2 linked regions of the Drosophila melanogaster genome follow. The protein of the gene in region 2 interacts with the protein of the main gene of each other region in a pairwise test. Each region holds a gene or a part of one and is shown on either strand. Other genes may lie near its edges.

Region 1 (6,099 bases), on a different chromosome or scaffold from region 2:
TTGTGTTCAATGTGCGTTCTGCCTGTAGCGCCAGTGCCTTCTCCGTGTCGGCTTCCAGGAGTTCGATGCTGCTGTAAAAGGTTTTCAGGATGTGTTGCATGTTTTCGTCCTCTCGCAGGCTTGTGTCCAGGTAAGCGTTGCAGGGCAGTCCATTGTCGACAGCTTGATTTTCTTGAGCCATGTTCTTTAAATGGAATTAAAATCGCGTGCGAATGTTTATATCTGGCTTAGGCTTACAGTGTGACCGTTGATTGAACATGAAAAGAAATAGATTCTATGAGAAGTATTCAAAAAGCGCCGTTTCCACTTCAACATTCTGCGCCTGCACTGTGCTAATCTACATACATATGTACAAATATAAAAAAAAAATGATTGACAGTAACAGTACAAATTTCAAATAATAAATTTAGCAAAAAAAAAATTGTTGTTACTTTGAATGCATTTAAACTTTTATTGCCCAATCATCTCGTACACAGTACTTATGTATTTAATAATACTTTCACAACGTAATTTATTATTGGGATTCTTGCATTTATGGCCAATTGTTATAATGACCAAAAAAAATAAGCAAACAAACAAACCGAGTAATTGTAAGCAAGTATTGAAGATTTGCGTATTCTTGTAGGAAAAGTACATGGTTTTAAAATAGATCGGATGTATTTGACCAATAATAATTACTTTACATTATTATTTAGTTTAAGCTGTTAGCATTATGATTATGTCTTTTACGACCTTCGAGTTTATTATAAATTTTCATCTTATCTTTGCAATCACACGAATACCCAGTAAAAGTTTCCAGGTCGATTTTATTTATCTTATTAACAATACAGTAATTCCTTAAAGTACTGGGGCGACAAGAAACATAATTGAAATTTTTACGCAAGTTTTTAGTCATAATCCTTGTTGATAGCATACATCTACTGTAATTTCTTATGATTGCCAAAGTAAAATGAATAATGATTGAACGGCAAGAGTTTTTCAACCAAGGATAAAACTGTGGCATCTCCAAAGCGTAATTAAGTAAACCTATGTATAAATTGTATTTTGTTGACTATGTTATGACTAAAGATCCCACACGAGCCGATGCGTACCCCGAAATGAAAGAAAGCAGCTACTGCTTGGAAATCCCTCTCTATTAATACACGCCCTACTAGTACAGCACAACTTGGCAAATTGCGTGGTTAGATCATGTGCAGCTTCTGATCGTTGAGTTTGAATGCCGCCGCATCGCTATGGAGGTGAAAAGGCACAATATCACCTGTTGTGGCCATATCAAATGATGGTGACATAGACGTTGCCGTTGCAGTTGCCGGACTATTGCTGCCACTGGTATTTGCGATGCCCGCCTTGAGATGTAGGCTGTCCATGGACATTTGCTGAGACTGCGTGTGAGGAAGGGGATTGGTGTGGATATGCGGATGGGCTGGGGGATGAGTTATGCTCGCTGGGACGGTTGAGAGTTTTCCTGAGTTTGTTGTGATTATTATGTTTCCGGCATGGGAAGCACCACGTCCACGTTTCCGCTTCGGAAGAATTCCTTTTCGCGCCATATAGAAACGAATGGTTGAGACAGGAATATTGAACATATTGCTGACAGTTTGGAATGTCTCGCCCTTCGAAACACATTTGGCCGCTTGTGCTAGAGATGCTTCTGAACGTCGAACGCGCTTATATGAAGTATAACCATCGATCGAGCTATGGCTCAGTCCTCCGGAAGTATTGGCCGATGTATCGAGATCAGTGTCAAGGCTGAGGGATAGCCCGGATCCGCATGGCACTCCTGTCGCAAAACTGCTGTCATTGTTTTCATCATGAGCGGCCACATAGTTGTGGTCGTCCTCAACATTTGAATCCAAGTATTGCTGCTGCTGAAGCTGCATTTGCATCCTGTGAAAAGATATATATATTTATCCAGAGATACTTGTCATATTAATGCAAAAACAAACCTCGCCTGCTGCAGGGATAGGTGGACATTCATTTTGTTGTCAACGGCTTGCGCAGATATATTGCAATCATCGAATTGCTCCCCGTAGGCATTCCAATTGTTCGGCACCTCGTCGCCGGAGTCATCCTCGGTTGGTGCATTCGAGTGGCTGCCCAAAACGTTCGTAGAGGTGGCCTTAGATGGCTGTTGAGCATTACTGCCATTTATCTGGGGTCGCTGCTGCACCTGCTGCTGCTGCTGCTGTTGCTGCTGCTGCCGAGCATCGGGATTCTGGCGCTTCAATACTGTGGGTTGCTGATGGTTAACCGGTAGCGGTGGAGCGGAGGAGGTGGTCATTGTTGTTGAGGTGGTTGAATTAGTGGCTGCATCGTCCGTTTCCGCGCTGTCCACATGCTTGAAGCTTCGCGCTGTGGTTGCAGCTGGATCCTTAGCAGCCTCGAGACTCGCCTGCTGGAGTTTCTTGTAGTTTATCGGTGCCTCAGAGCCGTATAGACCGCGAATCTGCAGTTGTTCGGCACAGCGAAGCAACTGGCCAAGACCGGCTTGCGTGACATTGACCTCTCCCTTGTACATGAAGTCCACAAGCGCCTGGATCTCCCATAGCTTGATCTCCCTGGGCAATATGATGACCGGGTGCTTGCAAGGATGCTCCGCTAGTATTGCCTCAAAGTAGGTGGAACAAGCGGCCAACACCAGACGATGGCAGTGCACCTGTTGGCCTTCGCATGCGAGTGTTACATCCACGAATCTCTGGCCTGCTAGCAGCTGCGGAAAAGCAGCTCCAATGCTGCCCAAATGGCTGTTCCAGCGTACACAAAATTCCTGTGTAGCGCCGCTCATCGTACTCAAAATATAGTTCGCGCCTTTACTGTGCTCCTGAGTTTACGAAGCTATCGCTCATTTAAAGATCCTTGTATATCCTGCAATAGAGTGTTGGTAAATTCCAGGATAAATTATAACTATCGTCAATAGACAATAATTCGAATATATCATAAATTCGACTCTCTTGAATGAACTAAGAATAAGGATCAAGTAATTTGACCGAATCTTTCTCGTGACATCATAATTCTAGTAGGTTTCCCTTAAAAATATTGTATTGCATATTAAGTATATATATTATATGAACTCCTTTTGTTTGATTTTTGATATATGAAAAAAAAAGATACTTCTTTTTTTTGCATTGCATTAATATTTGCATTTCATTTAATAATGGATTAAAAGAAAGAATATTTTAGCCAAATATATGAGTTTAAAAATAGCATTGTCCCTTTTCCACTTTTTTGTATTGTTTTTGCATGACAGTTACGTTATTCCTAAGTTTTTATTTGCTTTCTTTTTAGCAGTTGACCACTGTATATACATACATACATACAAACACACGAGCGTACATACAGGTGCAGAGGTATATGCTTATTTACATTTGATAATCGTCCAAATAAATAATGTCCTCAGTGTGAAACTGAGGAGAAGACCATGCGAATTTTCACTTGCCATGTTTTATGTACCCACATACATACGCACGCTTGCATAAATACATATGTACACCTCCACTAGCGATTTGCACAATTGGAATTACTTCTATATTTAGTAATAAGGATGTAAACAGTTGAATGTACGCGTTATATACATGTACGCATCCCTGCGAATCTGAATACATACCTGTTTGTTTGCCAAGGAACCGAAACTTCGCTGATTATAGTTCTTTACTTCTCGTTTTTTGGGCGCTATGTAACACAATAGATGCGATGGCGTGAAAACGAACGAGAATTTTATGTTAGGACTGTATGTCCTGTGCGCGTGAGCTATGTATGAATGTATCAGCGCCGGAGTCTTGTTTAAAAATACACACTATTCTTGCATCAAATCGTGCACAACACAAAAAAATATGTACATTTCAGGCATTAACCAATGTCTCTATTTACAATCCCTCATCGTTGTCCGTGAGTCCCATTCAATTCGTTGCTTTATTAATGTTTATTTTAACCAGAAATGCTGCATGCGCGCGATTATATTTCCTTTTTTTATGTACAACTGTTTGTTTTGACAGACTATAAACAAATAAACGGCAAATTAAAGTGCCAAATCGATTTGCACGTTATGCGCTGAGTATCTGCCTTTTTTAACTCTGCCTTCAAGCTATATTTAAATTATAAACTTAATATTGTCTTTCGCGCTGTCTGCTTCTGTAGCAATCAATTGTTATTTAAACTACGCGTTAGGCATAATTGCTGGGAATTGCAAGCGTTTCATAAACGCGTTTCTGAGTAAATGATTCTCATGTACCGGGCTTTTTTTATATTAAAGTTTGTTGTTAATTTTTCAGTTACTTAATGCATGCAATCGATAAAATTTTTTTTAGCTGAATTATCGCGGAAACAAAACTATTTATATTGAAATATTAAAATATAGATAGGGATCGGTGGGATAACAGGTTTCATATGCGAAAAAATTCCAGTCGTTCCGCTTTTATATCCACTAAGCGAAAATTGCCGAACGCAAGCATATCGATCTTTAAATGTGAAAAAGCCAACCATAAGCTAACAGGATAAATATTAAATAATAGAATAGAAAATACAAATCAATATTTGAGGTAAGGCCGTTACAGGATATTTTTGAAGAATTATCGGTAATTATCGAAATGCCCTAAAAAGTGGAAACAGTGTATTAACGGATACTTTACAATGTATGTATCACTATTATACGTTGCATATATTTCTTCTATTGTCCTTTTGCTAATATATTATGTTGCATACAAAAACTTTAACCTATTCGGCAAAATATACAATAGCTCTTACATGACAAGTGTTTGCAGCTTAAAATTTGAAGTGTACATTTTTCGCTTTCAGTCGACTGGTCACACCGTTCAACCCAAACTGACTCGGGAATTTTAGGGTGAGTGCTTTTATTTTTATTTGAGGTCTAAAAAAAACTTATGGAAGTTTACCATTGGGCATCCGCATATGTGTGGTTATTAAGTGCTTGGCTTTGACATTGTAAATTGTGCAGTCATAACGCAGCCGGATCCAACCAGACATTGTTGAAATTCCCAGTTTTCTGCGTTTTTAGAAGTAAACAAATGCTGATGCCTTCCACAACTTACATATCTACATTCGTATATAGTATCAATGTCTAATATTAAAAAATATTGTAAAAAAATGAAGAAAACAGTTACACAGTAAGGTTTGCATATGATTTTGAATCCATTTACTGCTGCCATCTAAATGTACCGTTATGTGCTGTCTTTGCAACGATATCTGTAGGAATTCATTGTATTTTACGCATTTATTTGTTTCAAATTGGAGATCAAAAACTATCCCAAATGTATTGTAACTACACAGATGTAAAACGCACATTGGTATAATATAATAGATCAGAATGATAGTATAAGTCTAGTTAGGTGTCGAAAATGTTTTGCTACAGCATCCGCAGCTAAACTTACACTAGTTAACAAAAACGCAAATCCAAATCTAAAATAACTGCCCAAAAATTAATTTTATGTTGGCGAACCGAAAACTCAACCATTTTATTACTCATGCCGTTTCCCTAATATTTGCATTTCTCAGTAAATTTGCGCTCAGGCGGTTATCTTTAAAGACCCCTAAAACTGAATCTCATTGACAAATAAAAGCCTCGTAAGTCTGTGCCCAGTAAATCTTTATTTATTGGCCAATGCAATAATACTTTCGCACACAGTTGGATTTGCTTGATTATTTAATCAATTTTCTTTACGTACTATACGCTTCGGTCACTATGGAATTTAATAGAATATGGAATATGCGTTATAAAGTCGAGAGAAAAGGTTCCAGATGTAAAGATCCATTGACAAAGATTGCAATATAACAATAAAAAGCTTGTTAACTTGTTAAGAGGATCCCTGAAATATACCATAATTACTCCCGAAACTGCATGCTGATTAGAAATACATATATATACTTTACAGGGCAAAAAAAGCTTACTCTTTGCGTATTACTCAGCCCCATATTACTAAGTTTTTAAGTTGAGATCTAGATCTGCCACATTTCTGACATCTCTGTTTCATATATCATTGCAGGATATCATCAGTTGAAAACTATGACTTTCGCGAGCAACAAATTTGATTTGTAAACTTATAAGAAACCGAGCCGATTTACCGATTTAAAGGAGACATATGCGAT
Region 2 (7,230 bases):
AAGGAGTCTTTCTTTCCGGCAAAGCGCGGCTCATAAATGCCAGCGCACGCACACTCTTCGATTTTTGTTGCTGCCGTCGCCGACTGGCATCAATTAAATTCGAATTGTTGCAGTGTCTTCGATTGAGATGCCCGTCTCTTTCGCACTCGCCTGGCGCACAGCGGGCAATTTGCCAGGCGACGAATATCCCTCTTTGTGTCTCGCTCTTTTGCTCCTTAATTGCTTAGGTGTGTGTGCACTTGGAAAAATAAATTCTTGTCACAGTTACTTAAATGGAAATTAAGGAAAATATATATGTACTTAGTAATATATCAATAAATAAAATCTTAATTTCTGTTAAAACGTATGCAACTTGGAACGTGCATTTCCAAATAATTGATTTTCTTTTCTAGTGCATCCCAGTATGCCCATTTTCCATCAGTGCACCTTTCATCGTCTTTCTCCGTCTCGCCTGCGGTTGGCGCTTAACTTTTGCATATTTCGCAACAACATTACGGCCAGAACAACGAGTGCGGCTCAGCAGGCACGTGAATCCATTACGATGGCAGGCAATTATGTGCGTGTTCCACCCGCTCCGACCCACTGTATCTGCCCCACTGTCGTTGCTTGATAGTTGGGGCCATACGCAAATCAAAACAGTTTCCATCAGCAACAACAAAGCCAACCAGCCAGCCAGCCAGCCAGCCAGCCGGCCGCAGCAATAACAACAACAAGAGCTATGAAAAGCCACGAAATGGGTTTTTAATGCAAACGACTTTCCCTCCAATTGCACACGGCCAAGGTGAATGCTGAGGGCGCTAGCCGAGAAAAACCGACAAAAGTGTGGCCCAGACCACGAAAGGAAATTTCCTGGGCTGTGCGAAAATCTTTTGGGCCAGAGCTTTAAACGAGTTTTCTGAAAAAGGATAAGCGCACCTTATATGCAGCTTTAATAATAACAAATTTTTTGGTTAAATCGATTTAAATAAATTGATCGATCGATCGGAGTATCAAGTAATATTAAGTTCTTAAAGGAATAATATTCGGAGCATTTTATAAGGTCCAAGTATGTACAATGGATTGAAACGTATTCAAGTCTTTTGTTGTTCTTTAATTGACCTGAAATACAGAACAACAAATTCCTGTCCCATAAAATAAGCTGCATTTAGCGGATAATCATGTAAGTTATGGGTTCCGATTGGGAATCCCCATGGACTCCTTCGTGTGCGGTGTACCGCCATTTTGCCAAGAAATCCAATGTTTTGGTATGTTTAGAAGCGCAAGTCGTGGCAGCAACAAGCCGAATGGGCGTGCAAGTTGTCTGGCCGCCTGTCGCTCCACCTTTCCGACTGTCAGTCAGTTGGCCAGGTGGGTCGACAGTCGGCCTAGCCTAGCTTGGCCTGGCCTGGCCTGACTGGGCTGTTTTGGGCCTCGGTGAATTGGCCCAAAAGAGCTTTAAATAAACAAACTAATAACGCAAATCACGCGGGTGCGAGTGGGATGGCAAGCGAGCGGAATAGGGACAGCAACTGTCTTCCAAATGCACCGCATATAAGTGTTCTATGGCAACCGCGCCAGGCCAAAATCGAGAATGTATAACCCGAATAAACAAACTAATAAAATGGGCCCACATGCCCGAGCCAGCGAGTCCACGAATCCTGGCTCAGAGCTGCCACGGAGGCGACCAACAACACTCGAGGAGCACACAAATACCATACCTTTTATCTATATATCTATATATCTATACCCTCTGTACCGCAGAAGACTGAATACACCAATCGACAAAAGAAATCACCAAAAATCAACGAGAACTGAAGGGAAAAGCAGCTCAAGTGGAGCAGTCGCTCCCAATTCCATTCGAGGCACTCCCACTGTATCTATTTGTGTGTCCCCAAAAGGAACCAAACTAATCCATAATCCGTCGACCAGAGAGCTGAATGCAATTGCAAATTAGATAACCAGGACTGGGTTTTCGTCATTTCTGGGATTTACACATAGAACTGGGTGAGCAAATTTCAATTACTGCAAGGCAGTTGTAATTAAATAGCCTTTTTTCGGTTTTAAATTCAGCCCATTGGATTATACATATGAGGTTTGTTCTCTTGTAATTCTGTGAGAATGCAGACAATTTGGTATTTAATCATGAAATTCTTTTATGATTTAAATTCAATTTAAATTTATCATCTATCGAAGGATTACTATTTATTTACTTTATTGCCTGCTTATATATGTATATCTCTATAGGGATTGCAGATTATGCAACGAAAATAGTGTAATCTGCGCAAGGACCATCACAAATCCCCGTAACTATGTCCGGAGCTCTCCAGGAGTCGCTTGCCCGCATCGAACTATTATGAAACTCGAAGGTGGAAGGTGCCACACGCACGGCAACGGGCCAGGGGCAGGGCCAGGTGCCAGTCCAGGTGCAAGGCCAGGAGCCACCAAGGACAAAGCCAGCGACATCGGCGGCAACTCATGCCAGGCGCCGCCAGCTGATCTCCATGGCCAAATGCCGCGGTCGCTCCATACTCAACGATGAAACGCCCACGCCGGAAGCAGCCTGCCCTGCTCCCGGTCCTGCACCTGCTGCGACTCCGGCTGCAGCGAATCCCTTGCCGCACCCACAACAACAACAACTGCAACAACAACAGAACTACTTACCTCAAACATCTTTGCTGAAAATCGAACCGTTCGTTCCTAGTTTTAATCAAAGACTACGCCGGCGTCCTATTGGTCGCTCCCATAGCACCTTAAGCCACAACGTCATCTCCAAGCGACCAGTGCCGCAGCAGCATCAGCAGCAGCAAATCCAACAGCCATCGGAACTCCAAGTTGGCCAGCAGCAACAGTTGAAGCGAGGCTATGCCGCCGCAGCTCAAATCCGCCAACAGCAGCAGCAACAGCAACGGAATCTACCACGTGGCGTTGGCATCCAGCGACAGCGTTCCAAGTCCACATCCTCCTCGGCGGCCTCCAATAGCTGTCGCCCAGCCACAGCGGCTGTAACGCCCAATACCCTGGTAGGCAGCACCGGCGGAACTCTGGTTAGTGGAGCCATCGTTACGCCGCAACCAAATGGCATCTGTCGGATCCAGAGATTGCCCAAGGAGCGCGAGGAGCTGCCCGATCGAATTAACTATGACAAGAGAGGACTCACTGCGATTCCCATCTTTGAGCAGGAGCCCAATCTTCGACTGCTGTCGCTGCAGCACAACCTGATCAACACTTTTCACATACCCAAGGAGGTGACACCGCCGCCTCCACCAGTGCCTCCTCCTGCTGTCGCCACGCCACGGGAGAGTAACAATAATAAGCTGGGTGGTTTGTATCCTAGAAATTTAGAATTTAAAGAATAGCGCTTAGATCTCCAATTGATTCTTCTTCTTTTGCTCCTCTAGAATATAGCAACGGCAATGGAAACAAGGAGGGAGGACGCTCTGGCCTGCGTGGCCATCATCCAGGCAGACTTACCCGTGCCATGACCAATGCAGGTGGCAATTCCCATCGCCTATCGCCCAAGTCCGGCGGTAGTCCGGGCTCAGGCAGTCCACTGACAACTCAGGCATTGGCCATCAATGGAGGAACAGCCGCAGGGCGCTCCAAGTTGGCCAAGCGAGGCTACAACTACGGACAGGCACAATTGACGCCTCCACCGGCGTTACGCATGCGCTACGGATTGGAAAAATCCAAGAGCTTCGTGAGCAGCAGCCTCCAGGCAATGAAGCATCAGCAACAGCTCATCCAACGAAGGGCAATGCTCAAGGCAACCAGAGCCGGAGGAGTGGTCGCACCGGGTGGAGCCGCCAGCAATCTCCTCCAGAGCTGCGATGAGGGCAGTGCCCTGCACAATAGCAATCTCTCTCTGTACGGTGGGTGTGGTGAAGAGGAGGAGTCTCCCAGTGTGATGACCAGCATTTCTGCTTTAGAGCAGCTGAGCATCAAGAACAAGCAGTTGAGCTTAAGTGCCAGTTATGGGAGCATCTTTCAGCAGCTGGTATTTCTGGATCTCTATGATAACCAGATCGAGAGAATAGCGAACCTGGATGGACTACCTTCGCTTTCGGTGCTACTGCTGGGCAAGAACAGGATTACGGACATTGGTGGTCTGTCCTCGTTGAAGGATACACTAAGAGTGTTGGATCTGCATGGTAATAAACTCACCAGTCTGGGCAGTCGCATCAACTGCCTGCAGCAACTGAAATCATTGAATCTGGCGGGAAATCAAATTCGTCAGATAAATCAGCAGGATTTTCTTGGCCTGCGCTGCCTTAGGGAGTTGAACCTCAAGCGGAACAAGCTCCGGCGGATCAATGGATTCCAGCACCTGGTGGCTCTGGAAAGGCTTTGGTTATGTCACAACGATCTGCACAGAGTTGATGATATGGCCAGTATAGCCAGGGCCACCCGCCTCCTGGAAGTTACAATCGAGAACAATCCCGTCTCTCTCGCCGGCGATTGCGTATCCTTCTTGGTTTCGTACCTTCCACTGCTGCAAACCCTTAGTCAGATGCCCATCACGGAGCAGGTGCGTCGGGCGGCTCTTGCTTGGCGCCAGCACAAGGAACAGGCTCAAGCTGCTCCTGGAAGCTCCGAGGCTTACCACAACATCCGGCGTGAAGAGGTTATATCCAATGCCAGGACCAACTGGGAACTTCTGCGTTCCCAACAGACAGTGGTGGGTCGTCCCAAGAGCCGCCTTACCAGCGAGCTAGCCAAGATCAATGAGTCCAACGAAGGTCCGGCAGGTGAGGAGGGGGAAATGGAATCCGAGGAGTCGCAGCAGCCCAAGGAACTGATGGATGAACTCCAGGCACTGATTAAACTGCCGCCTATTGCGAAGGATCTAAGGAATCCACACGAAGAGGATGGCGCCTCCTCTGAGGCCTCTAGTCTAGGACCCAATGTTGACTCCTGCTCCAGTTGTTATAGCTCGGACAATGAGGACGGCGGCGCTAAAAATAAACCACAGACTCCGCAGATTGATGAAAACTCAAACAAGGTGGGCTTGACGGAAAAGCCACCATCATCGCCAGTTACAGTTGCAAGCCAATCTCCTGAAGTAGCCATAGTGACACCGTCAGCACCGGTGTCATCCTCACCTTCGCCGCCTGCACTGACCTTGACTCCACCAGCTGCCCCAGGCACTCCAGTGCCCGGCACCACGTCGCCTTCACCATCAACAACCATAATTTCCACCTTGCCTGTGCCCGCCACTGCATCCTCCAATGCAAGTCGTCCGACCAGCAGCAAACAGCGTTCCCGTCATGCACCCATCACACAATTGGGATTACAGATTAACCAGAGAGGAGGAGCAGCTGCTTCCTCCAAGCGGTACATGGCTGGTAGTCTGGTGCGTGCGCAAACCGTGAGCAGCAGCACCAGTAACAGCAGCAGTTCCAATAGTGCGGGTCGAGGAAAGGCCACCAACAATGGATTAAACTTGGTGGCGACTCAAACGAAAGCGGCAACGAGTGGTAACAACCAATCATCAGCAGGAGCGGCAGCTGGAACAGGAGGCTCCACAACAGCAGCGCCACCTGCAGGAGCAGCTGCAACTCCAAACGCAGCCATAACAGTGTCCAAGCCCAGCGCCGCTGAACGGGAGAGAGAACAAGGTGGCGATTACCTGATTGAAATATGCGGAAGGTACCTTAACATCTACGGCCAGGGAGCTCTCCGTTTCATCGATAAGCAGTGGAATCCGGCCAAGGCCAATGACGTGCACACGCTGAACTTCAGTTACATTAACTTCAACAGCATCGTATGTGTTCTGGGCAGGATTAAGCTGCGATTCCCTCACGCCGAGCACTACGTTTTCCGGGAAACAAACATCTCCTGTTTGGGTCAGCTTAATGGATTGGCGGAGCTCCAGGGGCTCAGCAGCTTGATGATCGATGCCGAGGGTAATGGCATTACGCTCAAGGAAACCTGGCGAGCATACGCCATCTACAGGCTATCACACTGGGGACTGAAGCAGCTAAATGGTCAGGAGGTAACCGAAGCGGAAGTGGAGGCTGCGAATGCCATGTACGTTGGACTCTCTGACCTGGTTCTGTGGTCCATGCCCGAGGTAATGCTGCAACCGCTTTTGGCGAGACTGCGTCTGGATGAAACCTGCACGGCCAGCAAACTGTCTCCTAAAGAGTGGCTCCTACGGCCGGACAACAAGTCCCTGCGACTCGTGGTGGGAAAAGAGGCACTCCAGTGGAAGAAGAACGCTGGTGGTGGAGCAGGAACTTCCACCTCAATGAATATAAATCAAGGGACGGAAGCGGGAAGCACTGCCATGGCGCCCAGTGTCCGAGATCGAGGTCGCCAGCACTTTGCCCTTCTGCTGGAGAACACTTGCAACGCCGTGGAGAAGCTGCATAAACTGGAAACTCTTTGGCCAAGTATGCTTCTTGATATCGTCCGAAATACGCTGCTGGATTACGCCCAGCTAGATGTCTACCTGCGGAATCTCATGTGCGAGCTGTTGAAGTGAGAGGCCGTTCCAACAAATGAAAATTTATGAAATTATTAGTCGATCTGGCTTTTAGATAGAGGCGCACAGGTAGAGCAACCATTATATTCCTATGATTCTAGGCATTTACCAATCCTGTAAAGCAGCTGCTTACAACTAGTCCAATTTTTATAAATATTTAACATTAAACATGATTAAAAAGTACCAATCTAGGATGGCGCCTTTCTGGCCAACACCGGAAATGCATTTGGGCAGGTTGAACCCACTCTCCTCCGTAATCCGTTCGGCTTAAGAACTATGATCGCAAGAATATCCTAAAAAGTAGCAACCAAACTTTTACTACTCAACTTTATCTATCCACTTTCACGATACTTTTTCCTTATCCTACGCCTGAGGCTGAGCTTCTGCATCATCGGTGGTCGGCGGCTTTTGCTTCATTTTCGCCTTATCCACATAGATATTCAGAATAGCCTCGATTCCCGGGTAAAGCACAAAATTGGTGGTGCGAATTTTCTTGTCAATTAGGTACGATGTCACCGATTCGGTGTTGAAGGCAATGTCGAGAGCATCACTGTGCGTTACCTTATCCAGATGCGTTCTCTGCACTTTGATTACACAGTTCTCAAATCCATTGACTTTAATGCTAAGGTCCAGATTGTAGGCGGGGTCGATGTCTGGCCAGCGCTGAGCAAGCACATCTTCGCTCCACTGTAACTCCTGACTGGCGGGATTTAGCCTGCCTGGTATCGCCACAAACTTTGACCACAGTTCGGAGGCAAAGTGCGGAG

What was found.
Region 1: the proteins of CG13708 (region 2) and CG8924 interact in a two-hybrid assay, tested with the Drosophila melanogaster proteins (one large-scale study listed by BioGRID).

The regions. Positions count from the first base shown.
Region 1 is NC_004354.4:15,939,138-15,945,236, reverse strand, and holds CG8924 (uncharacterized protein), read right to left. Parts: upstream 4,161-6,099; 5' UTR 3,605-4,160; intron 2,866-3,604; 5' UTR 2,786-2,865; coding exon 1,947-2,785; intron 1,888-1,946; coding exon 1,182-1,887; 3' UTR 788-1,181; downstream 1-787. Other genes in the region: Rrp47 (ribosomal RNA processing 47), read right to left, coding at 1-181.
Region 2 is NT_037436.4:4,828,325-4,835,554, reverse strand, and holds CG13708 (uncharacterized protein), read left to right. Parts: upstream 1-1,963; 5' UTR 1,964-1,983; intron 1,984-2,049; 5' UTR 2,050-2,480; coding exon 2,481-3,300; intron 3,301-3,377; coding exon 3,378-6,463; downstream 6,464-7,230. Other genes in the region: LeuRS-m (Leucyl-tRNA synthetase, mitochondrial), read right to left, coding at 6,827-7,230.